Linked DNA regions of Oryctolagus cuniculus. The protein of the gene in region 1 purifies or fractionates together with the protein of each later gene. This does not show direct contact. Links are inferred from orthologs where the notes say so. Each region holds a gene or a part of one and is shown in the gene's direction. Other genes may lie near its edges. The genes, in order: ATP6V1A, ATP6V1F and ATP5F1C.

Region 1 (9,986 bases):
TTATGGTATAGCTGTACCTGATGATGACATAGTGAAAGATTTTACAAGTTCCATTCATTTTTCCTTTATATTAGAACATTACATTGTTTTAAAAAATTATAATGCAAGAAGGCTATATGTTAAATGAATTTAGCTCAACATAGCAAAGGGGACACCACACAGTATTTGTTAAAATTCAGTATCTTAGTGAACAAATCACAAATTATTAGTTTCACAGAAACCAGGCCTACAAAAATTGTCAAATGCCACTTTGGCCTACCTGGCTCTTTTCTTTGGTTTTGCTGACAAAAACCAGCTAAACTGCCTTTTTAACACACATAAACAAACTCCTATTCGTAATAAAAAAAACATGAAAGACAAGATATTTCTAGACTCCTTTGCTCTCCTTGGAGGTTAATCATTATTCTGAGTTCTTCCATGGTTCTGTCTCTCACTGCATAATCTTTTATCTTAATTTTCTATTCTAGTAACATCTGGTCAAAATAGCATCTTTCAATGATTCAATTAGTAAAATACACTGTCCTGTATTTCTACCATTGCTATACCTGCTTTCCCATCTTCGGTCACATGCATTCACATCTCATTAAAGACATTTTTATCAGGACAAATCTGCACTTCTTCACTATGAAGGATAAATGGATTTTACTATTACATTGTCACCTTAGTTGCGCTGTCTATGGCACACCTGGTTGAATATCACCTTTCTTAGGAAGAACAGCAGATAGGAATAATCAGCTTATCATCCACAAATTCAAGCTACAATTTTGCTGGTTCTCAGGAATAAGCAACCTCAGTACATAGGAGGCAGCATTTCTTAATACACAAACTTCATACAAACACACATATAAACACACCCTGTAGTTAGTAAACAGCAATGTATCTACTACAGAGGAAAGGAAAAACACATGCCAATACAATGGAATGTCCTATTGCTACTACTAATAAAAATTCCAGTAGCAAAAATATGAAGAAAATAGTTTCTGATTTCATGTATTTCTATTTAACTTACTGTTCAGCTAGCTAAAATACAATAAAACACTTAGCAAATAAAATTTCATAACAAATACACATAACTGAAGATGGCGCTGTGGCCTAGTGGGTAAAGCCACCACCCGCAGCACCCGCCATCCCAGAGGCTCCACTTCCGATCCAGCTCACTGCTAATGCAACTGGGAAAGCAATAGAAGATGGCCAAGTGCTTTGGCCTCCGTACCCATGTGTGAGACCTGGAAGAAGCTCCTAGCTCCTGGTTCAGACTGGCCCAGCTCTGGCTGTTGTGGCCATTTGGGGAGCGAACCAGTGGATGGAAGATCTCTCTCTCTCCAACTCTACCTTTCAAATAAGCAAACAAATCTTAAAAAAAAAAAAAAACAACTTAATCACAATCAGTTTCACTTTCACAGGCTTTTCCAAATGGAGTCGGGACACTGGCCACATTACAAACCGGTGATACAAGTTTAGGAACTCAAGGACCTTAGCAACTTTTAAACAATTTAGTACATCCTGCCTGCCTTCATTTTTCAGTGCCTTGGACACAGACTTAGAAGCAAAAAAAAAATTTTTTTTTGAAGTCAACCTTACAGTTCATATTGAAGGTTAGACTATTCTTAAGAAATCATCTTTTAGTTCACAATGAAGGGGTCGACCACTGAGGAGCAGCAGGTTAAACCGCCATCCTCAGTGCCAGCATCCCACTTGGGAACCGTTTCTGGTTCGAGTCCCAGATGCTCCATTTACGATCCTGCTCCATACTAATGCGCCTGGGAAAGCAGCAGAAAATGGCCCAAGTCCTTGGGCCCCTGCACCCACTTGGGAGACAGCTCCTGGCTTCAGCTTAGTACAGCCCAGGCGGCCGTGGCCATCTGGGTAGTGAACTAGTAGATGGATGGAGTATCTCTCTCTCTCTCTCTTTTCTGACTTTCAAATAGGTAAATAAATAAATCTTTAAAAAGAAAGTTCATGGCCGGCGCCACAGCTCACTTGGCTAATCCTCTGCCTGCGGCTCCGGCACCCTGGGTTCTAGTCCCGGTTGGGGCGCCGGATTCTGTCCCGGCTGCTCCTCTTCCTGTACAGCTCTCTGCTGTGGCCCAGGAAGGCAGTGGGGGATGGCCCAAGTGCTTGAGCCCTGCACTCGCATGGGAGACCAGGAGGAAGCACCTGGCTCCTGGCTTCGGATTGGCACAGTGCGCCGGCTGTGGCGGCCATGGGGGGGGGGGGGGGATGAACCAACAGAAAGGAAGACCGTTGTCTCTCTCTGTCTCACTGTCTAACTCTGCTTGTCAAAAATAAAAAATAAAAAGAAAGTTCACAGTAAAAAACACATTGTAGGCTCCTAATCCTAAATGATAGGAACTACATGTAAGGACTCTTCATGTATAGTTGCTTTACAATCATTTATCAGTACTGACTCATTAACTCTAACAGTCCCCACGAACTCTAGCCAGTTATTCATTTCTAAGAATCTGCCCATATCAGGTTATGCACAAATATCCATTTTAAATAAAAAGACAATAGCTTCCTGAGTATCTGCACTCAAAGTAAATTGTGAATAATATCTATTCGGTTCCAAGTCTAGCCAAGGTAGTACCTATGAGAAAGAACATTGCATCCCATGAAGACTGAGCTAGATCAAAGATTTTGGATCTAAACATCCAGAATAATTTCTTAGGACCCTCCTTTAAATCCACAGCACAGTTCAAAATTAAAAACTCCTCAACTTTATCATTTTAACAGAACAACAAACATGTATTGAGTGTCTCTGGTAAAGAAAATACACTAAGAGACATCATCCATACTCACGTTCAGTCCAGTAAAAACCAAACAAAAAAACTCTGAAAACATGTTGGATCATATGTAAAGTAGTGCAACTCCCTAGATCAAGATTCAAGGAGTATATAATTCCCATACTCAATTAATTTTTATTGGAACTCTTTAGAACTTGATATGAAATAATTAATGTAGGTACTGTGAATTTGCTTCCTAAACTTTATTTAAAGCAAAACCACAGTAAAGTAACTTGTTACAGATCCAGTATCAAATTAAACTTTCTTGGAATTTCTCTTGAGACTTCCAACGGAGATACACAGATAATATTTAGACCTGTTTTACGCAGTACCGAGTACACATTTCATCCTCACGGGAGCCGCTGAGTAGTCTAAAGACTTCACTAATTTACAGCGTAGCTACAATTCTTCAACTGACTTATGTTAATAGAAAAAAACCTCAGGCATTTCAGAGATTTAACATTTACAAGCTTCCATTTCTCTCTCTAAGGACTGTAGGGCAAAGCTCCAAAACGGCTGATTTAGGTAATGCAATTTAGGCTAACACAATGCTGTATTACTAAAACTGTAATAATACATAAAGTAATGGTAAATAGACATTTTATCCTAATGGGAATAGTCGTACCTAAACAATCCTTAATTTTATCCGAGAGGGAAACCGTGATCACCTAAGGAAAGCATTGTGGTAACCCACGACCCCCCTCACACTACTCAGGGGCAAACGGTGAACCACTGAAGCAACAGCTCCACCTACTGATGCACAAGACTTCCTTAAACGTTTTGGCATCCCGAGTCTACAGGGCTCGCGCGCTCTCCCCCTCCTCCACTCGCTGACCCAACCCAAATCCAGTTGAGTCACTAGCTCTTAATACTCATCCCCAGGCTCTTCATTCCCGACCCTTCTCCCTCCAGAAGATTCTGCAGAAATCCCACGTGTGAACAAAATGGGAAGGTTGTCAAAAACGGCGGCCGCAGCGCCGAGCCTGCGCCTGGAGGACAAGCAGCCCCTTTCCACCTGAAGTGGCGGGCCGCGGCTGGCTCAGCCGTGCGCTCCCCGGCAGGAGGCCCCAGGCCTCACAGTGGCCTCCGGGCCCTGCCGCTGGCCTCCGCTCAGCACACAGTCGTCCTTGGGGCGCCGAAATCCTGCGTTCCCGGGGTCTCGCCTCCCTTCGTCCTTTAGTCTAACAGCCCGCGCCGAGCCGCCGCCCCCTCTGGGAGCGGAGCAAACAGAAAAAGCCTAAAAGCCTCCGACCGCGCAGTCTTCGCCCTGGACTCCCCTCCTCCGCGGCTCTCCCATTACACGGGCCCGGCTGGGCCCCAGCCGGCTGTCCTTCCTCACCCTTTCATCTTCCCCGCCTGCTGAGGCCGTCGTTACCGCCGCTATCAACGCCGTCGTCGTCGCCGCCCAGAGCCCTCAGCGCTCTCAGCTCGGGCCACTCAACCTCCCGAGCCGGCCTCCTCGCTCCGGGCAGGGAGCGGAGCGTGGGACTGAGACCGCGACAGCCGAGCACGGCCCTGTGCCTCCGGAGGGGGTGGGAGGGGTCTCCCGCCGCCGCTAGGGTGCCTGCGCTGCCCCACACGTGCACCCGCGAACTCGGCTCCCGCTGCCGCCGCCGCCAGCCAGCCCCGCCGCCCCGCTGTGACCTTTCACCCCGCCCCCTCTGCGCGCCGGCGCGTCCGCCGCCCAGCGCGCAGCCGCACTACTCGCCTCTGCGCACCCTTCCCCCTCCTCTCCAAGACCTCCATCTTCCCAACTGGGCTGCGCCTTCGGGCGTCACGCTGCTGCTCCTCCTACCCGTTACGACAGCAGCTGTGGGGCTTGCCTGGTAGGCCCGGGCGGCGAAATCCGGATTTTTCCACCCCTCCCTCGTCGCTCCCAAATCAGCAAGTTCAGTCTTTCCCGACCCTGTTCTTTCTAGTTGATGGTCACCAGCTAGACCGCCAAACGCTTTTGTCTAATAGGGTTTTGTAAAGCCGGTTCCTGTAAGTGTAAACAAGTGTGGAAAGCTCAAGTCAATGAGGTGCTTTAGAAACAAACGTAGCTAACAATCGGCCGGATAACTCGCTACCCCAGGCACACCGTTTTGAGATCACGTGACTAGCCTAAGCCTTACGGCCTGGGACTTTACCGGCAGGCGCCAGTGGCTCGGAACTCCATCGCCATTTCCGGTCCGTGGAGCTGGGCGTGAACGTCACTTCCTTAGCAATGCACTTTAACCCTTGCCATCCGCACTTTTCTCCATTGCACTCTGCAACCTAATCGTGGTGAAAACTTAGGCTTAGTTTTTGTTTTGATCGCTAGAAAAATGCGTATTCAAGCGATCCGTAAAAAACGCAAACCCCCGAAATGCAGCGCGCCGGGTTGGGGGCGGCGGGGCGGAGCTCGAGGTCACGTGAATGGTTAGGCCCGCCCCTCCCCCGCAGCTGAAGACTTCCCCTCCCGCAGTGACAGAGCCTCTGGGTCGGTGATCCGTATTGCTTGTGCACCTCGCGCCCCAGCAGGTGAGCGGCGACCGGTAACTGGAGACTGGTGGGGACAGCCCAGGGGGTGGCAGGAGGGAGAAGGGGGAGTGTGAACAGCGGCCTCCGTTGCCCGGCTCATCCTTCCCGCTGTCACTCTGCGCCGGCAGGGAGCTTATTTCTCCATGTCTCCTGACCCCTGTCCTCCCATCCCTCCTACCGTGGTCGCCCCTACTACCTGGAGGTTGAGGTGTCCACTTTTTCCTTGTTTGGGAGTGAATGCGGTCATTATCGTACCCTCTTCGGAATCTTTGGGGCTCCGTGTAGTAGAATTGGTTCATCCATTCCTTCGGGGGAGGGGGGTTTGCACTGCCACCGGGTCCCCATTCCCCAAAGCTCATTCCTCGGTCAAGGCCCTCGTCCGGGGCTGGGGAGCTGGAACGGTGGAAAAACCCTGGAGGCAGAGGCGTCTCCTGCGAGACAGGCTTGGGAGGGAATGTCACTGATGTGGCCCTCGCTGCGGAGTCACGCGAAAGCTTCCCTCTGAATGTGCTTCCTCAGTAATTCTAAGGATCTTTATCTGACATCCTCGCAAGAGAGATTCTGTAGGTGTTCCTAGGCTTCGGGTGGGCCTAGAAGGGTGAACGAGGAAGGTCGAAGGCCTAACTATCTCCAAAACAGGGAGTGTTGGGACTGCGACATTCTCGATTGAATGGGGAGGCGTTGAAAGATGGTGTTGCAGCGTCGTGGTCCGCGGGAGGCTCAGGCTAGCTTATGGAAAAGTGCCTACGTTTCCCTGCAAGGGAAACGGAACGGGCTGGAAATAAAAGTAAACCAGATTTATTTGACTGTAAACTTAAAGGTAAGAAGACTAAGTCTAGATATTGTTGACTTCATGTTTTCTGCTTCTGTCAACCTTTTTTTTTTCCTGTTCCTCCCTAAAATCCTACTTAATTGCCACTCCCAATCGATGCCTGGACTAGCTTTGTGGTATATGTGTGTTAAGTAGTGCTTTTCTCTCTCCTTAGCTTTCTCCATTTGTAAAACTCCAAATGACCTCTTATTTTGATGAATAATATTTTGTGGACATACAGAAATTGTTTTGCCTAGGATTTTGCCCAACCTATTTTGCATGTAATGTGGTAGACAGTGTATTGACCCCAAACAGAATGCTTTAGGGAAGAATGTTTTTCAGTTTTGGGTTAAAGTATTTTATTTGTACTACCAACTCAGAAAGCTCCTTGTTTCTTTTAAATGGAAAGGTGTTGTAAAAATGACAGACTTGATTTTTTTAAAATTTTCAATTAGAATGAAAAATTCATATTCTCAGCTAAAATGTTGCAGTTTTCTAACCAGTGAAATTGAAGAATCCATTAGAAAGACAGCTGAGAAATGAGGAAGATGGAATCGTCTTTGGTGGATGTGACTGACTTAATTTTATTTTTTCTGTATCTTCCAAATTCTTTTCAATAAACTGTTATGAAGTTTACCGTAGAAAAACTGGCCTTTTGGTGCTCCTTATTGGAAAAACACAATCTTGAAGATCTTGCTGTCTTCAAGTATTGAAGAAGATTACTGAGGGTGGGTGTTTGGCACAGAGATTAAGCTCTCTCTCCCTCTCTCTCTGCCTTTCTAATAAGCACAGATTTAAAAACAAAAACAACCACAAGAAACAGAAGAGGAAAAAGCAACAGTTTTAGCATGTTGTACTTATATGTTGTTCATACTGGTCAATAACAGTTATCTATTGAAATGTTTATTAGGCATGCCTTCTACAGATGCAAATACAATTTTATTAATGAGTTTTTTTTCCAGAGTGAGGTTTCCTGATCTCTAGAGGAGAGAAGGGGGGTGGGGAAGTGTTGCTTCATTGCCCAGGTGACCTTCTACCAAATAGCTCCTTGAGCACTGTGGTAGTCCAAACCAGTCCTGTCTGGGTGAAACCAAAACGGGAGAGAGAAAAACCAGCTACAAAGCATTGAGTCCTAGCGGGGTGAAATGTCAGTATTGAAGAGGTTGAATGAGTTTGCAGTTTTACTTCACAATTTCTCCAACTTTAGGGAACTTATGAAAGCAGTAATGGAGATCACTGAGGAAATCTGACAGATGAGCAGCAGGAATTGGTGACTACATTGCTTCTGAGACTGAATGGGGAAAAGAGCTTTAACATACACAATGAAAACCTGCGCATGCGCACACACACACACACACAGAGGTCTTGAAGCCTGGAAGACATTTCTTAGAGTAGCTTTATCTGTCTATGAGTGTTATATGTTAAAATCCTAACATTTATGTAGAACATTGTGCTGTAGTCCACCACTCAGGAGCACATAGGGCTTTTGTGTTAGCGGCCTTCCTGTGAGGGCTTGTTTTCACCGCCTTTACAGATGATCTCCACCACTGAGAATGCTTTCTTCCCCCCGGGCAAAGGTAGCCACTCAGTTCTGTCAACTATTGCATAGTAATTTCTGTTCTCTTTTCACTTCCAGCACGTTGCAGTCTGTGGCCTTATTTTCATTTAACCATAAAGATCTTAGGGGTTCAAGTGCAGTGTCTTTCCTGTGTGTCTTGAACACCAGAATGCTGAAGTTCCTGATAGGTACTTACTAAATTGTTTAAATGAGTGTTGGACAATTAGACAAGGAGATGAAACCATTTTACCTGTTGCAGTTCCTTGTACCTTCTAAGGTTGTGCAGTCAACATAAGCTTGCAAATGCCACTTGTTAATGATAACCTTCCAATGTATAGTCAATGGAATAAACATAAACCTGAAATGAACATTGTTAATACAGTGACCAACTTATTTTCACTTCATATATGTGTATTTAATAACAGATATGGTTACCGTTCAAATATGGGAAGGAAGGAAAGAGGATTGAGTTGTGCTCAGTGAAAAAAGTGATTGTGTATGGGCTACAAGTGGTATAATGCTATATTAGAAGTCAGAGGATCTTCATTCAGCTCAGCCACTTTAGTTCCATACCCTTTAAGCAAAGCTGGTCATAGGAGATTACAGGTTTGATGCTTAGGAACCCTTCTCTCGCAGATGTTGTGAAGTTGAGTAAGATAACCTTGATAATAATCTATGAGACAGTATTCTAAGAACTAAGTGGTATGTGACTGTAAAGTAATATAGTACAGACTTTACAGGAATTTCTTAGTTTTAGAGAACTGGGTTCAACTTCTGACCCTGTCACTTATGAACTATGGGACGTTGGACACTTATATCAGTTAAGTTCCTTTATGCTTTACTCTTTCAAATAAGTGAGTTTAAATTTGATTACAGTCTTACAGTATTTAATACTTACTTTTGTAAATTTTTTATTATTAACTTTACTGACATTTATTTTGATTTTCTGTACTGAGTTTCTAAAGGAGACCTTACACGTTCCACAGAATTGACTAATACCCCCTTCTTGACCAACAGCACTAGAGTATAGGGAAGGGAATAGAATTTTTTTTTTTTTTTTTTTTTTGAGAGAGAGGACACAGAAAGTTCCCATCTGCTGGTTCACTTTCCAAATGCCCACAGTGGCTCTGGCTGGTCTGGGACTGAAGCAGAAATCCAGGATTGTAATCCAGGTCTCCCATATGGATGGAGGTAACACACTGAACAGAGCCATCACCTAGCCTCCTAGGGTCTACATTGGCAGGGAGGTGGAATTGGAAACCAGAGCTGAGAACTGAACCCAGGTACTCCAATATGCGATGCAAGGAGCAGAATATGAAATGAGGCTATTAACAAACAAAAAAAGGGCAAGAAAAAGGTACTTACAGCAAAGTTCTAAAGCAGAATTATTGATAGGAGCTGAGAAATACCGACATAAAGTCCATTGATTTGGCAACCACAGTCACTTAGTATTTTCTGCATACAGTAAACATTTTCCAAAGCTTGTGATCATTCGTTTGTAGGATGCATTTAAGGAAGCAGTTCTTCTGTGATTTATAGAAATATATTGTAATTGCACAGACTGTAGAACAGGGTCTTTTGTTAATCATTACATTTAAAAATTTTAAGTATTTTTTTTTAAGATTTTGTTTTAATTTATTTGAAAGACAGAGTTACAAAGAGAGGTAGAGACAGAGAGAGAGCTCTTCCGTCCTCCCCAAATGGCCACAATGGCCGGAACTGCGCCAATCTGAAGCCAGGACCCAGGAGCTTCTTCCGGGTCTCCCATGTGGGTGCATGGGCCCAAGGACTTGGGCCATCTTCTGCTTTCCCAGGCCATAACAGAGAGCTGGATCAGAAGAGGAGCAGCTGGGACTAGAACCGGTGCCCATATGGGATGCCGGCGCTTCAGGCCAGGGCTTTAATCTGCTGTGCCACAGTGCCAGCCCCTAGACTTAGGTTTCTATAAGTGCATTTTCTTTTATATGTAGTACTTATACATTATATATGCACATTATGTGAATACTTGATTATAAGATATATGCATGTCTGTATGTAAAGACATCTGAAATGGATGTTTATCTTCATAGTAACATCTTTATTTTTACCTGAAACTAGCCATTAACTGAAATTATTGGTACTATGGATAAAATCATCTAATTATTTACATGTAGATTCCTCTTTCTATTTATTTTTTTGTGGTTAATTCTACTTAATAAGTTTCACAACTGTGGTTAACCAATTTCTAAAAATGGGAGGCTGGTGTTGTGATGCAGCAGGTTAGGCCCCTTGTGATGCCAGTATCCCATATCAACAATCTGGATTCAAGTCCTCGTTGCTCTGTTTCCAATCC
Region 2 (9,932 bases), on another chromosome or scaffold:
CAGCCTCCCCACCCTGCTGCCGTGCCCTTGATGGGTGGAGTGCCTTGTCTTGTCTCAGGACAGTGTCCCTCCCCTTGAACGTGGCATGAGGGCAGACTGGGGCCAGGCCCGGGGACAAAGGCTGGACAGGGGGTTGGGCAAGCCCTGAGTCCCCAGGAGAGCACATTGTTGGAGGTGTCTGTGTGTGTGACAGATGTCATCCTTCAACCACACTGCTGGCCCCGGGTGGGCGGGGAGGGGAAGGCCTGCTCTGAGGATTGTGTCTGGCCCCCCTGGTGGCCACACCCCCAGCGTGGAAGGACTTGGAAAAGAAGGCACAATCAGAGAAGAAAACAGACCCGGAGCGAGAGCCCGTGGACTGCCCGAGCGATGCACACCCCGCCCAGCCTTCCCAGGGGACTGATTTCTCTCCGTTTTTTCTTTTTCCTTTTTTTTTTTTTTTACGGTTGCACAGCTCTGCCCCATGGGGGGCCTTTTTTACACACTGCGAGGCCCAGCTTTCTGGGGGGATTTTTGCACATGTCTGCGGCTCATCTGGGAGCTGCCTAGGTAGAAAACTCCAAATAAAGTACGGCTGTCGCAGAGGCTCGGCTGTTGCTTGTGAGTGCGCGCCCCGGGCTGGCGGCCTTCCAGCCTCTCGACACTGCGGTCCTGGGCAGGCGGAGGCTGGATCGCCATCCCCAGAGGACAGGCCCGGGCTCGGGCAAGATCTGGGCTGTTGGCCGAATGCTTGGAAGAACCTGTGATGGCCGCTTGGGGATGAGGGCTTGGTCCTTAGCTAGAGGGTTGGTGGCTAGTACAGGGTGGGGGTGGGGGGACTCCATGTCTTAGAAGACTGCCCTAGATGGCTAGTTCTAGTTCATCCTGTCCTCAGTGTCTGGATCAGACTGGGCCTGCGCTACCCCCACCTGTAGCCCTGAGCTTGCCTGGGCCCGGATTCCTGGACCAGCCGCCTCCATTAGGCCCCCCTGGCCCTGGCCAGCTCCCTCCAGCCCACCCTCTGGGCTGCAGCTGGAGGAGGGGCACCCTGAACGCACTGTGGCCGGCTGTGGTTTGTGCCTTTCTGTGGCTCCCTCTTGCCCCCGGCTAACGCCTACTCTTCCAGGCCGAGACCCAGGAGGCTCACTGCCAGCCCCTCCACCGGTGCGACTCAGGCAGTGTGCCCACTCCACACCATCCACTCCAACCCCTCCTCTCGGCCTCATGAGTCCCCCATTCCTCTTGGCCAACAGGAAGCTGCCTGGCCCCCTCCCTGGCTCAGCAACCCAGCCTCCATACGGCCCAGGCTGCATTCACCGTTCTGATCTGGCCTCTGCCGCCAGACAGCTCCTGGCCAGGAGGCCCTTCTGTGGGTGCCAATGACTCAGTTCAAGAGCACCCGAGAGGCTGAGCAGGACCAGGACCCGCCTTGCTCGGTGGGCCTGGCTATCCCATGCCGGTCCCCAGGCATTGTGGCGCATGGTGGCAGGTGCACCAGGGAAGACCCGAAACACTTGTAGCTGCAGCTGGTAACCACCTCCTCCCCGCCTCCTCACCCTTTAAGCTGCTTCTCTTCCCGCTCAGGGAAGGAGGGACCCTGCCCTCCTTGCTCTGGACCCTGCCCCCAGGCCCCGCAGGAAGCTCCTGAGGACAGAAGTTCCCTTTTACCAACCCTGTGTCTTCGGCCCCTGATGATAATCCCACTTGATAAAGGGTGGCTGCAGGAAAGAGCGAGCGGGTGATGAGTGTGACGCTGTCCCTGCCCCTTCCGTGACTGGCAAGCGCATGGAAGGTGCTGTGTCCTATTAAGCACCCGGCACTCGTGACCCCCGCAGGCCAGCTGGGCGCCAGGCACTGCGCCCAGGGCTCGGGGCAGGCCCTTCCTCCCACCCCTCCTGCCCCCCGCCCTTGCATGGAGGGCTTCCTCTGAGGGTTTGCTGCCTGCCGACTGTGTGTGTGGGTGCATTTCCGGGTCTCCAGCCCAGCCGCTCGGGGCTCTGGGTGCTGAGTATTCATGGGCCCTTTCTCACTTCATCCCCAGAACAGCCCTGTGAGGTGGGCGCAGGATTAGCTGAAGAAACCCGGGCTCTGAGAATGGAGGTCCTGGGCCCAAAGCCACCCACTGCTACGTGAGGGGCCCGCATTCAAACGCAGGGGTGTGCACACCCCAGGCCTCTCGTGGGCCAGCCATGCGGGCATCTCACGCGCTCCTCACACACAGCTCGTGCCCGACGCTGGGGATGTCGTTTGTTGAAAGGGAAGATAAATGAGTGGTCCTTTCCCCTTCAACCTCCTCATCTCACAGAGTCCACTATTTCCGGAACATTCCTCATGTCATTTAGCTGCACACACCAGAAACCTGGGAATCACCTGGGCGCCTCTCCACCTTGCTCTCCACATTCGACTCAAAAACCAGTTTCGGGGGTGGGTGTTTGGCACAGCTGTTAAGATCTTGCTTGGAACTGCTGCACCCCATGTTGAAATGCCTGGGTTCAACACTTTACCGGCTTTACTCCCAATTACAGCCTCTTGCTAATGCAGACCCTGAGAGGCCACGGGTAATGGCTTGAGTAATTGGGTTCCAGTCACCCACACGGGAGACTTGATTGAGTTCCTGGCTCCCAGCTTTGGCCTGGCCCAGAGCTTACTTGTTCGCTCACGCACTCTCTCTCTCCTTGTCACCCAAATAAATAAAATAAGCAAAAATCAGTTTGGGAGCAGGTGCTTAGCCTAGTGGTTAAGACACCAAACTCTGGGCCCAGTGCTGTGGCATAGCGGGTAAAGCCACCGCCTGCAGCGCCAGCATCCCATATGGAGCTGGTTCAAGTCCTGGCTGCTCCACTTCCAATCCAGCTCTCTGCTATGACCTAGGAAAGCAGTGGAGGATGGCCCAAGTGCTTGGGCCCCTGCACCTGCATGGGAGACCTGGAAGAAGCTCCTGGCTCCTGGCTTCAGATTGGCCCAGCTCTAGCTGTTGCAGCCATTTGAGGAGTGAACTGGTGGATGGAAGACCTCTCTCTCTGTCTCTCTCTCTCTCTCTGTGTCTGCCTCTCCATAACTCTGCCTTTTAAATAAATAAATAAATCTTAAAAAAAAAAAAAGACACCCAAATCCAGGGGCTGGCATTGTGATGTAGCGGGTTCACATCCCAGCTGCTCCACTTCCAATCCAGCTGCTTGTTAATGGCATGGGAAAAGCAGCAGAAGATGGCCCAGTGTTCGGTCTCCTGTCACCTATGTGCATGTGGGAGACGCAGATAAAGCTCCTGACTCCTGGCTGTGGCCTGGCCCGCATCCCAGACAGGAAGACCTGAGCCAAATTCCTGGCTGCAGCGTCCCGACAACGCACACCCTGGGAGGCAATGACTCCAGTAACTGGTCCCTGCCACCCCCAGGGGAGACCTGGGTCACATTACCAGCTCCTGGCTCTGGCCCAGCGCAGCTCTGGCCGTTGCAGGCAGTGAAAGGGGGCTTTCTCTCCATGTCTGCCTCTAAAACAATTAGGGTTTGTCCATTCTTCTCCAGCCACCTCCTCTATGACCACTGCTGGAAATCGGCCACCATCTCTAACCACAGAGGCGTCCCAGTGTGCTCTCTGCTCCTGCAGCCCCGCCTCTGTGCACCACAGTCACACGGGCAGCTCTAGAACCGCTGTCCTCAGGGAAACCTCCAGATTCTTTAACTTTTCCTGAATGCCCTATACTCTCCAGTGCAAGTGGTTTTTGCCTTACCTTGAACACTTAAGATGGGTGCAGGGGCCCAGGCACTTCAGCCATCTTCCGCTGATTTCCCAGGCCATGCAGGGAGCTGGATCGGAAGTGGAGCTGCCCGGACTCGAACCAGTGTCCATTTGGGATGCAGGCGCTACAGGTGGGTGCTTAGCCTACCACGTCACAGCACCTGCCCCTCAGTTTAACTTCTAATTCCATTCTCCCACAAACTTTCTGTATTCAGTAACTGTTAACTATGAGTCATGGCTACATACATACATACATGATACAGACATGTTCTTGCCCTTGAGAACAGCGAGTGCAGTTTCTCCTGCGGGGTCCCACAGCGCTGCTTCTGCAGAACGAACCAAGCAACGCCAATAGGAAGCCGTGCGGCCGCTCAGCCTTCTGGGAATCGTAGTCCTCGGGTTCGGCCTCTCTTTATGGCGCAGGCATATTCAGGTTGAGGCGGCCTTGCTGTTAATGCGCATGTCCTGGAGGCGGTGTGGCCGAACTGCGCATGTCTGAAAGGCGGGGGCGAGGCCAACCCGGCTACAGGTGCGGAAGCTGGGATTCGGGGACTTCGGGAGCTCGGGGCCGCTCTCTGCGCCGCGACCAGGATGGCAGGGAGGGGAAAACTGATCGCGGTGATCGGAGACGAGGACACGGTGACTGGCTTCCTGCTGGGCGGCATCGGGGAGCTTAACAAGAACCGCCACCCTAATTTCCTGGTGGTGGAGAAGGACACGACCATCACCGAGATCGAAGACACTTTCCGGTACGGTCGCCTGAGAGGCCTGAACGGGCCCTTCTGCCGCCTGGGTGGGAGCGAAGGGGCGAGGGGCGGCCGCCCGGGGACCGAGGTGTCAGACCCCGACCCGAGGGCGGGCCTCCTCACGCCGGCCTGGAGGCCTCTGCGCCCCCCGTCCCCCGTTCCCTCTTGCGATTCGGTGGGCCTGAGGCTGTGGTCGTGACAGGTCCGCGCGCTCCCTCTCACATGACCGTGTGTCAGGAAAGAAGAGGAAGAGAGCTGGTGACGGGCACAGCCGGCTGCGAGCCTTGCAGGCGCTGGGCTGCTTTGCGCTCGGTGCGCACCCGTGGAGCCGGGCTTTCTCCTACTTCCACATCCTCTAGGGGCTCCCAGTCGACCTGGAAGGTGGGGGTTAGTGTTCCCATTTACAGGTGGTGGTACCCAAAGTCAGGGCTGCTCACACCTTGCACCTCACGTCCTCCTCTCCTGCCCTGGGTCAGGGGCGACGGTCGCAGCTGAGCCTTTTAATCCGCAGGTGTCCTGGTGCTAGAATGGAGCTGCCCTGGTTCCTTCACCCCTTCCCTTTGCCGAGTCTCAGGAATTCTCTCACTTGTTTCCCCCTAAACAGCCCAGCCCACAGCTGCTGGCTGAAACCAGTTCTGCTGCCTGGGGTACCGTGGGGCTTTGCCCTGGGGAGGCAGCTGTCTGCGGATCACCAAGCAGTCTGGCAGGGTGACCCGGGTTGTCATGGGACAAGGAGGAATTTTACTCCAAGGATTGTCCATGCTTCCAACCAAAAAGAAACTTCGAGATCAAGTGTTGCCGGGCACAGGGTCGGGCACAGGGTGGGTGCCCAGGACGGAGCTCTTCCTGAGAAATAACGCACGGGCCGTCCCGGGCCAGGGCTCCGCAGGGCCAGGGCCGTCTGTGCGGAAAGTGCGAGCCCTTCAGTGCTGAATTCCTCTTCCCACCTGTGCTTTGGCCTGGGCCAGGCACCCCGTCCTCCCTTAGCACAGACATGGTGACCTTGAGGCCCCCTGGGTCCTGTTTTTCGAAAATGTAATGGATTTGGTTTCCTCTGGACATTGAATGCCTTCATGTGGTTTCCAATTCAGTTTTTAAAAGGTATACATTGAGGCCGGCGCCACGGCTCAATGGGCTAATCCTCCGCCTTGCGGCGCCGGCACCCCGGGTTCTAGTCCCGGTCAGGGCACCAGATTCTGTCCCGGTTGCCCCTCTTCCAGGCCAGCTCTCTGCTGTGGCCCGGGAGTGCAGTGGAGGATGGCCCAAGTGCTTGGGCCCTGCACCCCATGGGAGACCAGGATAAGTACCTGGCTCCTGCCATCGGATCAGCGCGGTGCGCAGGCCGCAGCGCACAGGCCGCGGCAGCCATTGGAGGGTGAACCAACGGCAAAGGAAGACCTTTCTCTCTCTCACTGTCCACTCTGCCTGTCAAAAAAAAAAAAAAGGTGTACATTGAGGAGCCTCCTGCCACACACACACACACACCCCATCTCCCTGTCTGCTCCTGTAGACAGCCATTTAGCTTCTGCCTGATCACTCTCCTAGCTCTTCATGCAGATAGGAAGGGATGCATAGTTGCTGGCGCTGGGGCACAGCGGGTTGAGCCGCCGCCTGCAGCGCTGGCATCCCAAGTCCAGGCCGAGTGGCATCTTAACCGCTGAGCCGAATGCCCGCCCCACACGTATCCCCACCCTTCCCTGTCTGATAGCAGGGCAGCACCCTGAGCGCACGCGTGGACACCCTCATCTTCAGCTTTGGTTCACTCGGAAGCTCCCCAGGCAGGGGCGTACAAGCAGGCCCTGGCTAACAGAACCCTGAGCTCTTGAGTGCAGTTGATTCTGGGTCAAGCAGACTCCACCTTTGCCCTGGTCCTCTCTGCTCCCCGGGTCACTCCTCTTCCTCTGCAGTTCCGAGCGGGCCGCCGGGAGCTGCCCCGGACTCGCTTCTCGTCTCTCCCGGCAGGCAGTTTCTCAGCCGGGACGACGTCGGCATCATCCTCATCAACCAGTACATCGCGGAGATGGTGCGGCACGCGCTGGACGCCCACCAGCGCTCCATCCCGGCCGTGCTGGAGATCCCCTCCAAGGAGCACCCCTATGACGCCGCCAAGGACTCCATCCTGCGCAGGGCCAGGGGCATGTTCACCGCCGAAGACCTGCGCTAGGACACGCCCCGCGGAGCACGGCCCTCAGCCCCTCCCGCCCTTCCAGGCCTCTCCCCGGCTTTGTCCCCAGCCCCGCTCTGAAGGTTCAAGCCTCTGATTTCCACGTCTCCACTCCTTCCCACCCCAGGGAGAGGCTGTGTGAGGGGCATCTAGGTTGCTGGGATGCTGCTATTAAAAGCCAGGCTGGTTAGGGAACAGGAGGCCTGACCGTCTTCTCTCTCCACGACCTCTTCCCCGTGCTGTCGCCCAGTGTCGTTGTCCATGTTAAATTAAAGTAATATTCTGGCTTCTGTCCAAAAACTGGGCCTGGGTACTGGACAGGAAGGGGGGGGGGGGAGATGAGGCTCCTGGGGGAGATGAGATTGGCAGGGGTGGAAAATGTTCCACCAAGGACCAGGCATGGACGAGCTGGCCCAGGAAGATGTGCCAGGAGGCCCTAACTCAGGCACTGGCCCTCTGGTTCAAAAAGACCAGCTGGGGGGGTGGGGGTACGAGGCTTGAGCCCAGCCTGTGGCTCTCCCGCCTCAGTCTGCACTGGGCAGAAGGGGGCCTGAGCCGGGGGAAGTTAGCAGAAAGCACAAGAAACCTGGGAGCCGGTGATACCAGATCCTGCCCGGGGCCTGCAGCGCCAGCCGGTGTCAGGATCCCAGCACTGGGCCCGGGGCCTGCAGCGCCAGCCGGTGTCAGGATCTCAGCACTGGGCCCGGGCTCCAGGCTGCCTCAGGAGTGGGGCGTGTGAGGTCTGTGTGGGCGCAGCAGGTGGAACCCTGCCCCTGTGTGAGGTGAGGCCTGGTTGCCTGGTGACTGCCCCAGGGCGGCCACCTGCTGCCAGCCGCAGTGTGCTTGCCGTGCTCGCCCTTGGCACGGCTCCCCCACCCCCTGCCGCCATGTCTCGGCAGCTCAACATGGACACGCTGCGGCAGAACTTCTGGAAGGAGGACTATTTAAGGGAGAAGATGTTGCGCTGTGAATGGCACCGCAAGTACGGGTCGCTGGTGAAAGCCAAGCAGAAGGCTAAGGCCGCAGCCCGACTGCCCCTCAAACTGCCCACCCTGCAGCCCACGGCCCCACCCGCACCCCCTCCTGCCCCCGGAGCAGCCCCTCCCAAGGCGCCCAGCCCTGCCGCAGAGGCTCCCCTGCAGTCGGAGATGTACCCGGTGCTGCCCGCCACCCGGGCCCTGCTGTACGAAGGCATCTCCCACGACTTCCAGGGCCGCTACCGCTACCTGAGCACGCGCAAGCTGGACTTGCCCGAAACACGCTACCTCTTCCCCATCACCACCAGCTTCACATACGGCTGGCAGCTCGGTGAGCCCTGAGCCCCGCAGGTTAGGCACCTGCCCCACAGCAGCGCCAGGTGCCAGGGAGCGGGCACATTCAGGAAGAGAAGGGAAGGTACAAGAGGGACAGGCACCATGGAGAGGTCTGGGGGCTCGGGAGAGGCCTCTGGGGCCTGAAAGCTGAGCACTGCATGACAAAGAGGAGTTGGGATTTTATTGAGAAGCCAATGGAAGGTTTTAAGCAGTGGGTGGTCCTGATTGGCTTTTTTTAAAAGAATTACCCCAACTGTTCTATAGGGAATGGCTTTTTTTTTTTTTTCCTTTAGTGAGAATTGGAGACTGGTGAGTTAGGCATCTGTGTTGAGTTATCCTGGCATGAAATGACCGTGACCTGGGCTAAGGCTTAGCAGTAGCGCTGCAATCCAGGGTACTCCGGAGGAACACTCAGTGGGACTCACTGCTGGACTGAGTGTGGGAGTAAGGAGCCGAGGGAGTCCATGGCGGTGCCCCGGTGTGGCTGGAGCTGCTGTGACAGGATAGGGCTGGCGAGGGCAGGGCTGGAGGGTGCGCTGGCTCCAGGGCTGTGCTTGGGTACCAGGGAGACAGCTGTGTGCGTCAGTCTGGCTCTCAGGAGTGAGGTCAGAGTTGAACGTACAGTCAAGAGTAGTCATTATAAGTGCTACTTAGCTCTGTGAGGTCAGGGACGTCAGCTGGGGCGCCCAGGCTGCGGGGATCCGATAGGAGGGGCGGCAGATGGAAGGCCAACCGTCTAGACCATCTAGAACCGTGTGTGTTTGCCTGAGGCTGGGAGGGGAGGAGTCTGGGGAGTGGCGAGGCTGAGATGAGTCAGTGTGTGGGGAGAGGAGTGGGCCGGCAGGGCTGCTGCATCCCTTGGCTGTCTGTGCTCCTGAATCTCAAGTGAGACTGTTCAGTCCTGGTCTGCACCTCAGGAGTGTCTGTGCAGGAGGGGAGGTGGCTGGGCTCATCACCATGGAGACTTCACCCGAAAACTTCCCGTATCTTCCCCAGCTCGTAAGGGTATGATTAAGGGAGCGACCGCTCAACAAAAGCAGACACTAGATGGCAGCTGCATGTCTCCCAGTGCGTCCCTGTGGTGGGCAGGGCCAGGTGGCCCCTCCCCCGGGAGAATGCTGAAGCTGTGGGCAGTGGTGACAGGCGGCTGATCCCGGCCTGCTACCCTGGCCGCATCCAGTGTCCACTCCTGTATCTCCTTGTAGCCCACAGTCCTCACAAGTTCTTTATTTCTCCACACAAAGTTCACACAACATGGACAGGGTTGTGGGCTGTGCAGACAGACGGGGCTCCCCTGCTCTGTCGGCCTCTTGCCCAGGAACCCATTCCTGGCCCCTGGTCTCTTCCCAGGCCCCCCAGCGAAGCAAGAACTGGTCTCCTGCAAGATGTGCCGCATCGAGTCGTTCTTCCGCAAGAACGGGGCCTTTGCTCTGCTTGACCCCCGGGACCTGGCCCTGTGACCTTGGCCCAGGCCCTGGGCTTAGGACAGAGAAGAATAACAGCCTTGTGCTGGGGAAGCCGCTGTGAGTCTGTGTCTGCTCCCCCCGGCCTGGGGCCACGTTCTGAGCCTGCTGGGACCCATGTCTTTCCTGCAGGTTGCCCTCTTGCTTTTTCCTTAACTCGCATCCCCTTAATCATTCCCTAGAGGACCCAGCAGTGACCAAAGGGGGCTGGGGACGGGGAGCGCTATTCTCCGGGTGCAGCCTCCTCAGCGCCGGGGGCCCACAGTAGTTCCTGAAAGTTCTGAGTGTTCCTAGGGAGAGAGGAACCGTCGTCCAGATACCAGTGGAAGGGACCCTCAAGCTCCCACCACCCTCCCTGACCGCCCCTCACCTGGCCCTGAGGGCCCGCAGCCTCCAGGTCCTCTCGCGGTGCACCTGTTCCAGCTGCTCCCGCAGAGCGCGCCGCCGCCCGGCCGCGTCCTCCTGCACGGTGAGAGCACTGAGCGCCATGGGGCCGGCAGGGGGCAGCACCCGGCCCTGGTGCCGACCC
Region 3 (9,921 bases), on another chromosome or scaffold:
CACCATGGCCATTTGGGGAGTGAACCAGCGGCTGGAAGACTCTCTCTCTCTGCATCCCTCTGTAACTCTGTATTTCAAATAAATAAAATAAATCTTAAAAAAAAGAAAAAAGAAAACCACTTTGCAACTCCTAATGAAATAACTGACTCAGATAAGGATGCTACAATACACAGGTAAAAGGTTAATGGGTAATTAGATATATGGACATGATTTCAAATAGTAACCCACTAGTAAAGTTGCTCTCACATAGGGAAAAATATTACTTTACAGGCTGTCAGCCTTATTTAATCATCTTAGCATAATTAAACAGTACAGACTTCCTTATGTGAGGCAATATGAAACACATAGGGTCACCTACAAAATATTGTTCCTTAAAATGCTTAACCTGAACCTAATCAAGTCTTCATATCCAAGTTCCAGTTGACAGGAACTATAAGAGCTAGAAGATGAAGGCCAAAGACACGTTCATAGCGTGGGAATGCTACAGGACAACTGACTGGCCTCCTTCACAAATCAACACAAAGAAAAAAAAAATAAATAAGAAAAGAAGAAATTTTTTAAAATTAAAAAAAAGAAAAAAGGGGAGAGGGATCCTGTTACAAATTTAGAATTGTAAGAGAGAGAATTAAAAGTTCTAATAACCTAAGACAGAGGATTTTGGGGGCCAGAAACTATTCTGTAAGATGCTATAATGGTGGATTCCCATCATTATTTAAGCTGACAGAATGTACAATACCAAGAGTGAGCCTTAATGTAAGATGGACTTTAGAGGATAATGATGTGTCAATGTAGGTTTATCCACTATAACAAATGTACCATCCTAGGGAAGGATGTTGTTAAGTAGGGGAGTGTTTGGGAGTGTGTTACAGCTGCTTTTTGCTGTAAACCAAAAACAACTTAAAAAGTAAAGTCTATTTAAAAAAAAAAAAAAGTCCTAACAACCAATCCAATTTATGGATTTTAATTGAATTTTGGTTTGAAAAAACTGCTTTTAAATAATTTGGGCAACAAGTAGGAAGCATGAATATAGAGTGTGTAGATGATAGGAATTTACTAGCTTTGTCCTATTGATGACCTATATTGTGGTTATTTTGATACTGTATTGATTGATTGATTAACTGATGTTCATTTGATGGGCAGAGATGGGGGGAAAAAAGCTCCCATCCACTGCTTCACTCTCCAGAAATCTGCAGCAGCCCCCGAATGGGGCAGAGGCTGCAAGACGGTAACTCAGCTCAGGTCTCACGACCGGCAGGAAGCCAATTACTTGAGTCATCACTTCTGCCTCCCAGGGTCTGCATTAGCAGGAAGCTGGAATGGGGAGTGGAGCCACGTCCTGAACCAGGAACTCGATCTGACGAGGCACACGGGCATCCTAACGGTGTCCTAACTTCCACCCTTATATCCTGACATTTCAGAAATGCACACTTTAGTACTTAGAGGTGAAATACCCTGATATTTATAACTTACTTTAAAACACTTCAGTGACATGTAAGTATGGCAGGGGTGAGCATTTGGCCTAGTGGTTAATCACCACTTGGGACACCTGCCTCCTGTACTGGAGTCCACATCCTATATTGCAGAGCCTGGCTTTGACTCCTGGCTTTGCTCCTAGTTGCAGCTTCCCTGTAATACACACTCTGAGAGGTAGCAGGTGATGACTCAAGTGGCTGGGTCCCTGACACTGGAACTGAATTCTTGGCTCCCAGCTTCAACCTGGCCTAGCCCTAGCTGTTGCAGGCATTTGGGGGAGTGAACTGCCTCTCAGGTGACATTTTTTTTTTTTTTTAAAGAAAATATGGCAAAATACATCAACTGTTAAAACTGCATGTTTGGGGTTGGCACTGTGGCATAGCAGGTAAAGCCACCGCCTGCAGTGCTGGCATCCTATGTGGGCGCCAGTTCCAGTCCCGGCTGCTCCACTTTTGATCCAGCTCTCTGCTGTGGCCTGGGAAAGCAGCAGAAGATGGCCCAAGTGCTTGGGCCCTGCAACCACGCAGGAGACCCAGAAGAAGCTCCTGGCTTCTAGTTTCTGGCTCTGGCTTTGGATCAGCTCAACTCCAGCCGTTGCAGCCATATGGGGAGTGAACTAGTGGATGGAAGACCTCTTTCTCTGTGTGTGTGTCTACTTCTCTGTAACTCTGTCAAATAAATAAAATAAATCTTAAAAAAAAAAAAAAAAAAAAAACTGCAAGCCTGTGTCCCCCAAAATTCACAATGAAATCCTAATCCTTAACAAGACATTAGAAGTGGGACCTTTTGCAGCCCCGGTCATTGCAGACATTTGGGAGTGAAATCTCTGTCTCTCTCCCTCTCTCTAACTCTGCCTTTCAAATGAATAAATAAATCTTAAAAAAAAAAAAAAAAAAAAAAAAAAAGAAGTGGAAGTGGGGCCTTTGGGAGGTAATTTTGTTTAGACAAAACTGCCAGGGTCGAGCCTCTGTGGTGGTATTATTACCCTTATATAAAAAAAAAGGCTAGAGGGGGCCAGCATTGTGGCATAGTGGGCTAAGCCTCCGCCTGTGGCACCAGCATCTCACATGGGTGCCAATTCGAGTCCCAGCTGCTCCACCTCCGATGCAGCTCTCTGCTGTGGCCTGGGAAAGCAGTAGAAGATGGCCCAAGTCCTTGGGCCCTGCACCCGCGTGGGAGACCTGGAAGAAGCTCCTGGCTCCTGGCTTCGGATCAGCACAGCTCCAGCCGTTGCAGCCATCTGGGGAGTGAACCAGCGGATGGAAGACCTCTCTCTGTGTCTCTCCCTCTCTCATAAATAAAATATGGGAAAAAAGAAAGAGCTAGAGCTGCTCTCTCCCCACCTTGTAAAGATAAAGAAGGACTATCCCCTATGACCCAGGAAAAGGGTCCTCACCAAAACCCTGCTATCCCAGAACCTGACTTCAGCCTGCCCAGGCTCTGCAACTGTGAGGAACAGACCACTCGGTCCACGGTGTTGGTACTGTAATCCAAGCAGACGACAACACTGGGGAGTGGACAAATGGCTGTTCACTGTTCTAGTCTCTGGCTTTCTTTGTGAGAACCTCATGTTGACTTAGAACAGAAAGAACTAAAGAGAAATGCCAGACAGAAGCCGTTTAATGTGAGTCCAACCTAAGACATCTCACTCATGTGCAGAAATTGGATTCGATTATTCCAGTTGCCTCTATGTTCTTTCATTACTATCCAATCTAATCTCCAAAGAAAAAATATGATCACGTCACTAGCCTGCTCTCAAGGTCTTCAATTCTGGGTTCCATCATCCACCTCACTTAATGGAAAAGTATAAACTCCATAGCCTGATACACAAGGCTTGTTCTAGGACTCCCAAAACCACCTCGCATGTAATTCATTGATTTAAAAAACTTAAAACAAGCCTACAAGGAGGTATAATTATTATTTCCACTTTACAGAGAAGTAAACAGGCAAAGACAACGTTAACTTCCCCAAATCACACAACGAATAAGCCGCATGGCTCGGCTGCCTAATTTTGACAGTGCGGCTCCGGATAAGTCCACAGTTTCGACCACGATAGAACTCAGCCTATCCTACAGTCAATACTCCACAAATGCTTGTTAGATATGCAGCGTGGAAGAGCTTAGTTTTCCTTCTGCACCTGATCCTGAATTCTAATCATGCTTTTTCTCTTAAGAGGCATGTTAAGTCAGAGAGCAGGTTAGTTAGCGCCTGGACGGCTGGCACCGCACTATCCATTTCCACACCGGAGCTGCAAACTTTTCCGAATTCATATCTTCGGGGCAGGTGGATTAGGAGGAATGGGGTGTCGAAGACCCCCAGGTCCCCGTGGAGCCGGGGGTGCAGGGAAGATGACTCCACTGAGTTGCGCAGCTGACTCACCCAGCGCAGACCCCAAAAGAAGCCTCACTAGTGGGCCCCTGAGACCTGCACCCTCACCCCCAGCGACGAGCCCTCCTGGAGGGAGGGAGCCACCCGGGCTCACTCACCTCGTCTCGACACTGCTTCTGGCACATCTGGCAATACCAGCGTAGCTTCTGAAGCCCCTTGGATTTGATCCTGTTGGCGATGGCCTTTGGAGTAAGAAAATCTGACTTCCCCATCACGACCACCGCAGAGACCACTTTCAGAACCTCAGCACCCCGGCAACCGGAAGCGGAACTGGGTTGGTGGGGCAGGCGGGACAAAGCTGCAAGCCGGGGGAAAGGTGGGACCTCGGGGAAGGCTGGGCCCCACCACTCGCGAGATTTCGCGAGAGCAAGCGAGACTACTGTAGCAAGCGAGGTGGGAGGGGCGAGTGGGGAAGCCTGCGCGCGCGCGCAGTAAGCCCTGTCTGCCCGACCTTCAGCAAGGCCGGTGCCACCATGTTTTCTCGGGCGAGCGTCGCTGGGCTGTCGGCCAGGGCCTTGCAACCGCAATGGTATGGCAGCTTATGGGAGGATCGGGAGAACTGTGAAGGGTAGAAGAGCTTGGTCAGGTGGGATGGAGGAGGCGGTGGGGGCGTGCAGGACGAACCCGGGAGGTGCAGGGCCTGGCTAGGCCCCGTGTCTTGCAGAGGCCCCGGGCAGCCCCGGGCTGCAGGAAGCGGCTCCGAAGCGGGAATGGCGCGCGCTGCGGCCGAAACTGCTGTCAGAGGGAGGAAGGCCCTGCCAAGTCCCCTGAGGCTGGAGGGGTCATTTGGAATCTTGGGACTGAGACCTTTGTCCGAGTTCGTGTCAGGGCGGTCTTGAATTCATTCAGCTAATAAGGACTTCCTGAGCTTCCGCTTCCTGCCAGGCAGCAAGTCTGGGGGAGACGTTAGCCCGGGTCCTCAAGCTTAGGGGTGGGGGATTATGTGAGATCAAGCCTAGGAGACGGTTACGTGGTGCTCTGTGTCCTTGAAACCTTCCAGGACTGGGCAGTGTGACCCTTTAAGACTTAATCGAGTCTGAGCACATTCATCAAATACGCTTATCGATATGCGACGGGCGCTTCGCTGGGTTACTGGAAAAATGAGGGTGGTGGTCGTCTCGGTGCAGAAGGGACCTTAAAGGCCTTCGCTGCTAATGGGGAGAGGAAAGCCATCTGTCACCCTCCTGAAACCATCACCCTGCAAGGTCATGTGATTGCGCCAAGGTCCTCAGGAGATGAATTTTAAGTGGTATTTGTTAACTGCAGGTGAAGGGCGCTCCACGTTTTAAAGGTTTTCAACTTGAGTTCCTCGGGGGTGGGGTGGGGGGGACCGCATATTAGGCGGCTTCAGCAATGGCCAGATAAAAGTGTGTTTGCGGGTAGTGCTGTATAATGGGATGAAATGCTGTGAAGCCAGAGTCTGAGAGAACATTAGGGTGCACAGGGGACTGTTAGCTCTCAGCGGCGTCATAGCAAACCCCTGGTGTTACAGTGTGGGGGATTTCTAGGGAGCTCCAGACACTTGATTCTTGTAATTTGTGATGGGACTGTGAAGCATTGATTGAAATGGAACTTCTTTCGTTAAGAAGTGATAGCCATGTACAATTAATTAAATATGATGGGAATTGTGTATGTGAAATTTTTGGAGAGATGGCCGTGGAAGCTAGATTTTTTTCCGGTCGAGAAAGAATATTCATAGAAATTCAGAAGTCAGGACAGCCACATTCTTAGATGTGTAGATTTTCCCATTAGTAACTTCTCAGCAAGCATCTGCTAAGTGTTTACCCTGGCTGGTTGACACTGAAAAGTGCTACACTGTGGTTTGAACAAACAGATGCGGCCTTGGTGAGCTTCCAGGCCAGCCATGTAACTCGGCAATCATAGCCTCTTCTTCCCATCTCCCTTTGCATTGATGTTATCTGCTAGTATTTTTAGACTCACAGTTTCAAGTAGATATTTTAAAAATGGAGAGTTTCTGAAATGGAGAAAAATATTTTACATGAACTTCTAGCAGTCACTTTTAAGAAAAACATGTAAGACAATTTAGAAGTCTCTTAATAAAGGTAGGGTTGTTTTTTTTTTCTTTTTTTTTGAAAAAAGAGCCCTTGGTCTGAGGCAGCTGCATGGAGCCCAAATTGGGACTTCAGTTAGCAAATAAAGGTTGTAGTCCTGACCTTAATACCTTTGGAACTTTTGTTTTAAATTGATAGGTTTTGAATATTCATCAAGCAACCTCTTCACATATTCCGATGTTTGGATTAAGGTCCTTCTTGCCTCTTCTACCCTTTGTCTTCCTATGAATTATAATTCATAGAGCAGCTGTTTGGTACAGTAGTGAAGCCACCTCTTGGGACACCCGTGTCCCATATTGGAGTTGGAGTCCTGACTCCACTGTCCATTCTAGCTTCCTGCTGGTGTGCACGCTGCCAGGAAGCAGGTGGGTAGCTCAGTTACTTGCTTCCCTGCCACCCATGCAAGAGATGTGGATTGAGTTCCAGTCGCCTGGCTTAACCTGGAGCTGTCCTGGCTGTTGGGAGCATTTGGAGAGTGAACCCATGGATGGGAGGTTTCTGCCTGCTTATCTGTCTCTGTCACTCTGCCTTGTAAATGAATAATATAAATACAAATTTAAATTCTACTTGGCCTTTGAATTCAGAAATTAGCACCATCTTTTTTTTTTTTTTTTTTTAATTTATTTGACAAAGTTATAGACAATAGAGAGAAGGGGAAAGGTCTTCCCTGCATTGGTTCACTCCCCAAATGGCGGTTATGGCCGGCGCTGCGCTGATCTGAAGCCAGGAGCCAGGTGCTTCTCCTGGTCTCCCATGCGGGTGCAGGGCCCAAGGACCTGGGCCATCCTCCACTGCCTTCCCAGGCTACAGCAGAGAGCTGGACTGGAAGAGGAACAACCGGGACTAGAACCTAGTGCCCATATGGGATGCCAGCACCGCAAGTGGAGGACTAACCAAGTGAGCCACAGCGCCAGCCCAATTAGCACCATCTTAATGTTTCACATTTCACAGTTAATTTGGAAGGGGAGATAAATACTTTTGCCTTTACAGAACCATGACAAGATATTTCCTTGGGTCTGTTTTTTGGTTTGTTTTTTTTTTTTTTTTTTTTTTTTTTTTTTTTTTTTTTTTTTTTACAGGCAGAGTGGACACAGTGAGAGAGACAGAGAGAAAGGTCTTCCTTTGCCATTGGTTCACCCTCCAATGGCCGCCGCGCTGCTGCCGGCGCACCGCGCTGATCTGGTGGCAGGAGCCAGGTGCTTCTGCTGGTCTCCCATGGGGTGCAAGGCCCAAGCACTTGGGCCATCCTCCACTGCACTCCCTGGCCACAGCAGAGAGCTGGCCTGGAAGAGGGGCAACCAGGACTAGAACCCGGTGTGCCGGCGCCACAAGGCGGAGGATTAGCCTAGTGAGCCGCGGCGCCGGCCTTGGTTCTGTGTTTTTTTTTTTTTTGACAGGCAGAGTGGACAGTGAGAGAGAGAGACAGAGAGAAAGGTCTTCCTTTGCCGTTGGTTCACCCTCCAATGGCCGCCGCGGCCGGCGCACCGCGCTGATCCGATGGCAGGAGCCAGGAGCCAGGTGCTTTTCCTGGTCTCCCATGGGGTGCAGGGCCCAAGCACTTGGGCCATCCTCCACTGCACTCCCTGGCCACAGCAGAGAGCTGGCCTGGAAGAGGGGCAACCGGGACAGAATCCGGCGCCCTGACCGGGACTAGAACCCGGTGTGCCGGCGCCGCTAGGCGGAGGATTAGCCTAGTGAGCCGCGGCGCCGGCCTTGGTTCTGTTTTGATTATTGAAATTGAAAGCTTTTGAAATACGATTTGGTATTTTATAGTATTTTTGTTTGTTTGTTTTCAGCGAGGTTAACATGTTTGCTTTAACTAAGCATTGGACTTAATTAAAATCATTAGACCTAATTAAAAGTTATTTAATAGTATATTTTCATATCAGCAAAGTACCCTCACTTTTTGGAAATTGGGCCAGAAGTAGCATTTAAGAAAATGGAAACAAACTTGAAAAAAGGAGTCCCTGGTTCTGGAGAAACTAGATTTTTGTTGCATTAATGTTCAATATTCTCCAAATAGGAACTGTTCTAAAATAGGAACATCAGTAGCCATAAACTAAACTATATACATGAAAAAAAGAAAGGTGCGAGGCAGCAGAATGTATAACAGGTAGATCCTGGAGCCAAACTGCCAGGGTTTAAATCCTGATGGCTGCCACTCACATGGCTGTGTGACCTTGAACAAGTTACTTAGTGTCTGTGCCGCCAGTCTGTCCTCTGTTAAAGGAGAATTAAAAAAAAGAGTGCTCTATTGGCTTAGTGTAAGGACTGAGTACTTGCAAAGAGCCTAGGACAGAGGGAGAAATACCGGTATAGATTTAAATGTATCAGCTGAAAAATGAAAACAAGTTTGTTTGTTTTAAAGATTTATTTATTTGAAAGGAAGATGGCCGGCGCCGCGGCTCACTAGGCTAATCCTCCGCCTTGCGGCGCCGGCACACCTGGTTCTAGTCCCGGTTGGGGCGCCGGATTCTGTCCCGGTTGCACCTCTTCCAGGCCAGCCCTCTGCTGTGGCCAGGGAGTGCAGTGGAGGATGGCCCAGGTGCTTGGGTCCTGCACCCCATGGGAGACCAGGAAAAGCACCTGGCTCCTGGCTCCTGCCATCGGATCAGCGCGGTGCGCCGGCCGCCGCGCACCAGCCGCGGCGGCCATTGGAGGGTGAACCAACAGCAAAAGGAAGACCTTTCTCTCTGTCTCTCTCTCTCTCACTGTCCACTCTGCCTGTCAAAAAAAAAAAAAAAAAAAAGAAAGAAAGGAAGAGTTACCACTGAGAGGTAGAGAGGTAGACAAGCAGAGAGAGAGAGAGAGCTCAAGACACAGGGTGGGGTGGGGTGGGGATGGAGGGGCCTTCCATCCCCAAATGGCTGCAACAGCTGGAGCTGCACTGATCCAAAGCCAGGAACCCAGGAGCTTCTGGGTCTCCCAGGCCATAGCAGAGAGTTGGATCGGAAGTGGAGCAGCCAGGACTCGAACTGGCACCATATGGGGTACTGGCACTGCAGGCGGCTTTACCCACTACACTACAGTGCTGGCCCAAAAACAAGTTTAGAAGTACAGTTTCTACATAAAACAGGTAATAAGCGTTATTATACTTGCCAAAGGAGGAAAAGAAAATGCACAAATCACAGATGAGGGAGTTATTTTTTTTGGTGTAGAGGCGGGTGATAGACTTCGCAGGCATTTAGTATGAGAATTAGACATACTTCATACTTTCATAATTAGCCACTGTGGCAGCTTTCTTAATTTTTGTAATTGTACAGCATTATACACTCCTTAAAAATCTCTAAAACTTGGGTCTTTGATTAAGCATTCCTAACTCCCTCCTCCACTGCCTCTTCTAACAATGCTGTATGATCAGAGTAAATAATGGTAATCCACAAAGCATTTGAGTCTCTCTTATTTGATAAATTTCAAGTTTCTCCAATAATCTCCTGAGGAATTCTCAGGACAGGCTGAAATACTTCAGAGCTTTCCTTATCATCTCATGTTCAGAGCTGTATATTCGTTAGTGCAAGATTTCTCTAATGGTAATTAAGTAGCTCATGGCTATTCTCTAGTCAAATTATACTTAAAAATAAAATAGTGACATAGTCATCTTAATAACTAAATGAAGATTAAGCATTGCGCACAGCATGAAGAAATCACAGAAGATGTTATCTGTTCATACCTCTCAGAATGCTTAGGGAAACCCAAACATTTCATGCTCATCCGAATATAGTATGCAATGCAAATTTGTCCCGGGTGATGCTCTCTTAATCAGAAACTTGTATCCATTAAATTGAAATGTCTGTCTAAAACTATAATAATCAAACATCACTTGTTATAGCCTATAAATTTAGAGTGTTTTTTGGGTTAAAAAGTCATCATTATACCAAAAAAAAAGGTTGGCCAAAAAATTGTGTTTCCAAGTGCCATTATGAGAAAACGTTGATAACGGAACAGTCATTTCTTCAGAAAGTCAGTCCTCTGAAATAGCAGTTTGTAT

Evidence for each region.
Region 2: the proteins of ATP6V1A (region 1) and ATP6V1F fractionate together in Homo sapiens (co-fractionation; 3 studies listed by BioGRID and IntAct, with this or other methods). This does not show direct contact. The link is inferred for Oryctolagus cuniculus from reciprocal best matches to the Homo sapiens genes ATP6V1A and ATP6V1F.
Region 3: the proteins of ATP6V1A (region 1) and ATP5F1C fractionate together in Homo sapiens (co-fractionation; 3 studies listed by BioGRID). This does not show direct contact. The link is inferred for Oryctolagus cuniculus from reciprocal best matches to the Homo sapiens genes ATP6V1A and ATP5F1C.

The regions. Positions count from the first base shown.
Region 1 is NC_091435.1:69,748,619-69,758,604, forward strand, and holds the start of ATP6V1A (V-type proton ATPase catalytic subunit A), read left to right. Parts: upstream 1-5,012; 5' UTR 5,013-5,285; intron 5,286-9,986. Other genes in the region: NAA50 (N-alpha-acetyltransferase 50), read right to left, coding at 4,913-4,947. UniProt on the Homo sapiens protein: Catalytic subunit of the V1 complex of vacuolar(H+)-ATPase (V-ATPase), a multisubunit enzyme composed of a peripheral complex (V1) that hydrolyzes ATP and a membrane integral complex (V0) that translocates protons.
Region 2 is NC_091434.1:165,051,959-165,061,890, forward strand, and holds ATP6V1F (V-type proton ATPase subunit F), read left to right. Parts: upstream 1-4,103; 5' UTR 4,104-4,308; coding exon 4,309-4,466; intron 4,467-6,425; coding exon 6,426-6,627; 3' UTR 6,628-6,927; downstream 6,928-9,932. Other genes in the region: protein SPMIP1, read left to right, coding at 7,515-7,935, 9,291-9,400; KCP (kielin/chordin-like protein), read right to left, coding at 9,627-9,693, 9,774-9,865. UniProt on the Homo sapiens protein: Subunit of the V1 complex of vacuolar(H+)-ATPase (V-ATPase), a multisubunit enzyme composed of a peripheral complex (V1) that hydrolyzes ATP and a membrane integral complex (V0) that translocates protons.
Region 3 is NC_091444.1:75,502,330-75,512,250, reverse strand, and holds the start of ATP5F1C (ATP synthase subunit gamma, mitochondrial), read left to right. Parts: upstream 1-4,219; 5' UTR 4,220-4,334; coding exon 4,335-4,390; intron 4,391-9,921. Other genes in the region: KIN (DNA/RNA-binding protein KIN17), read right to left, coding at 3,960-4,073.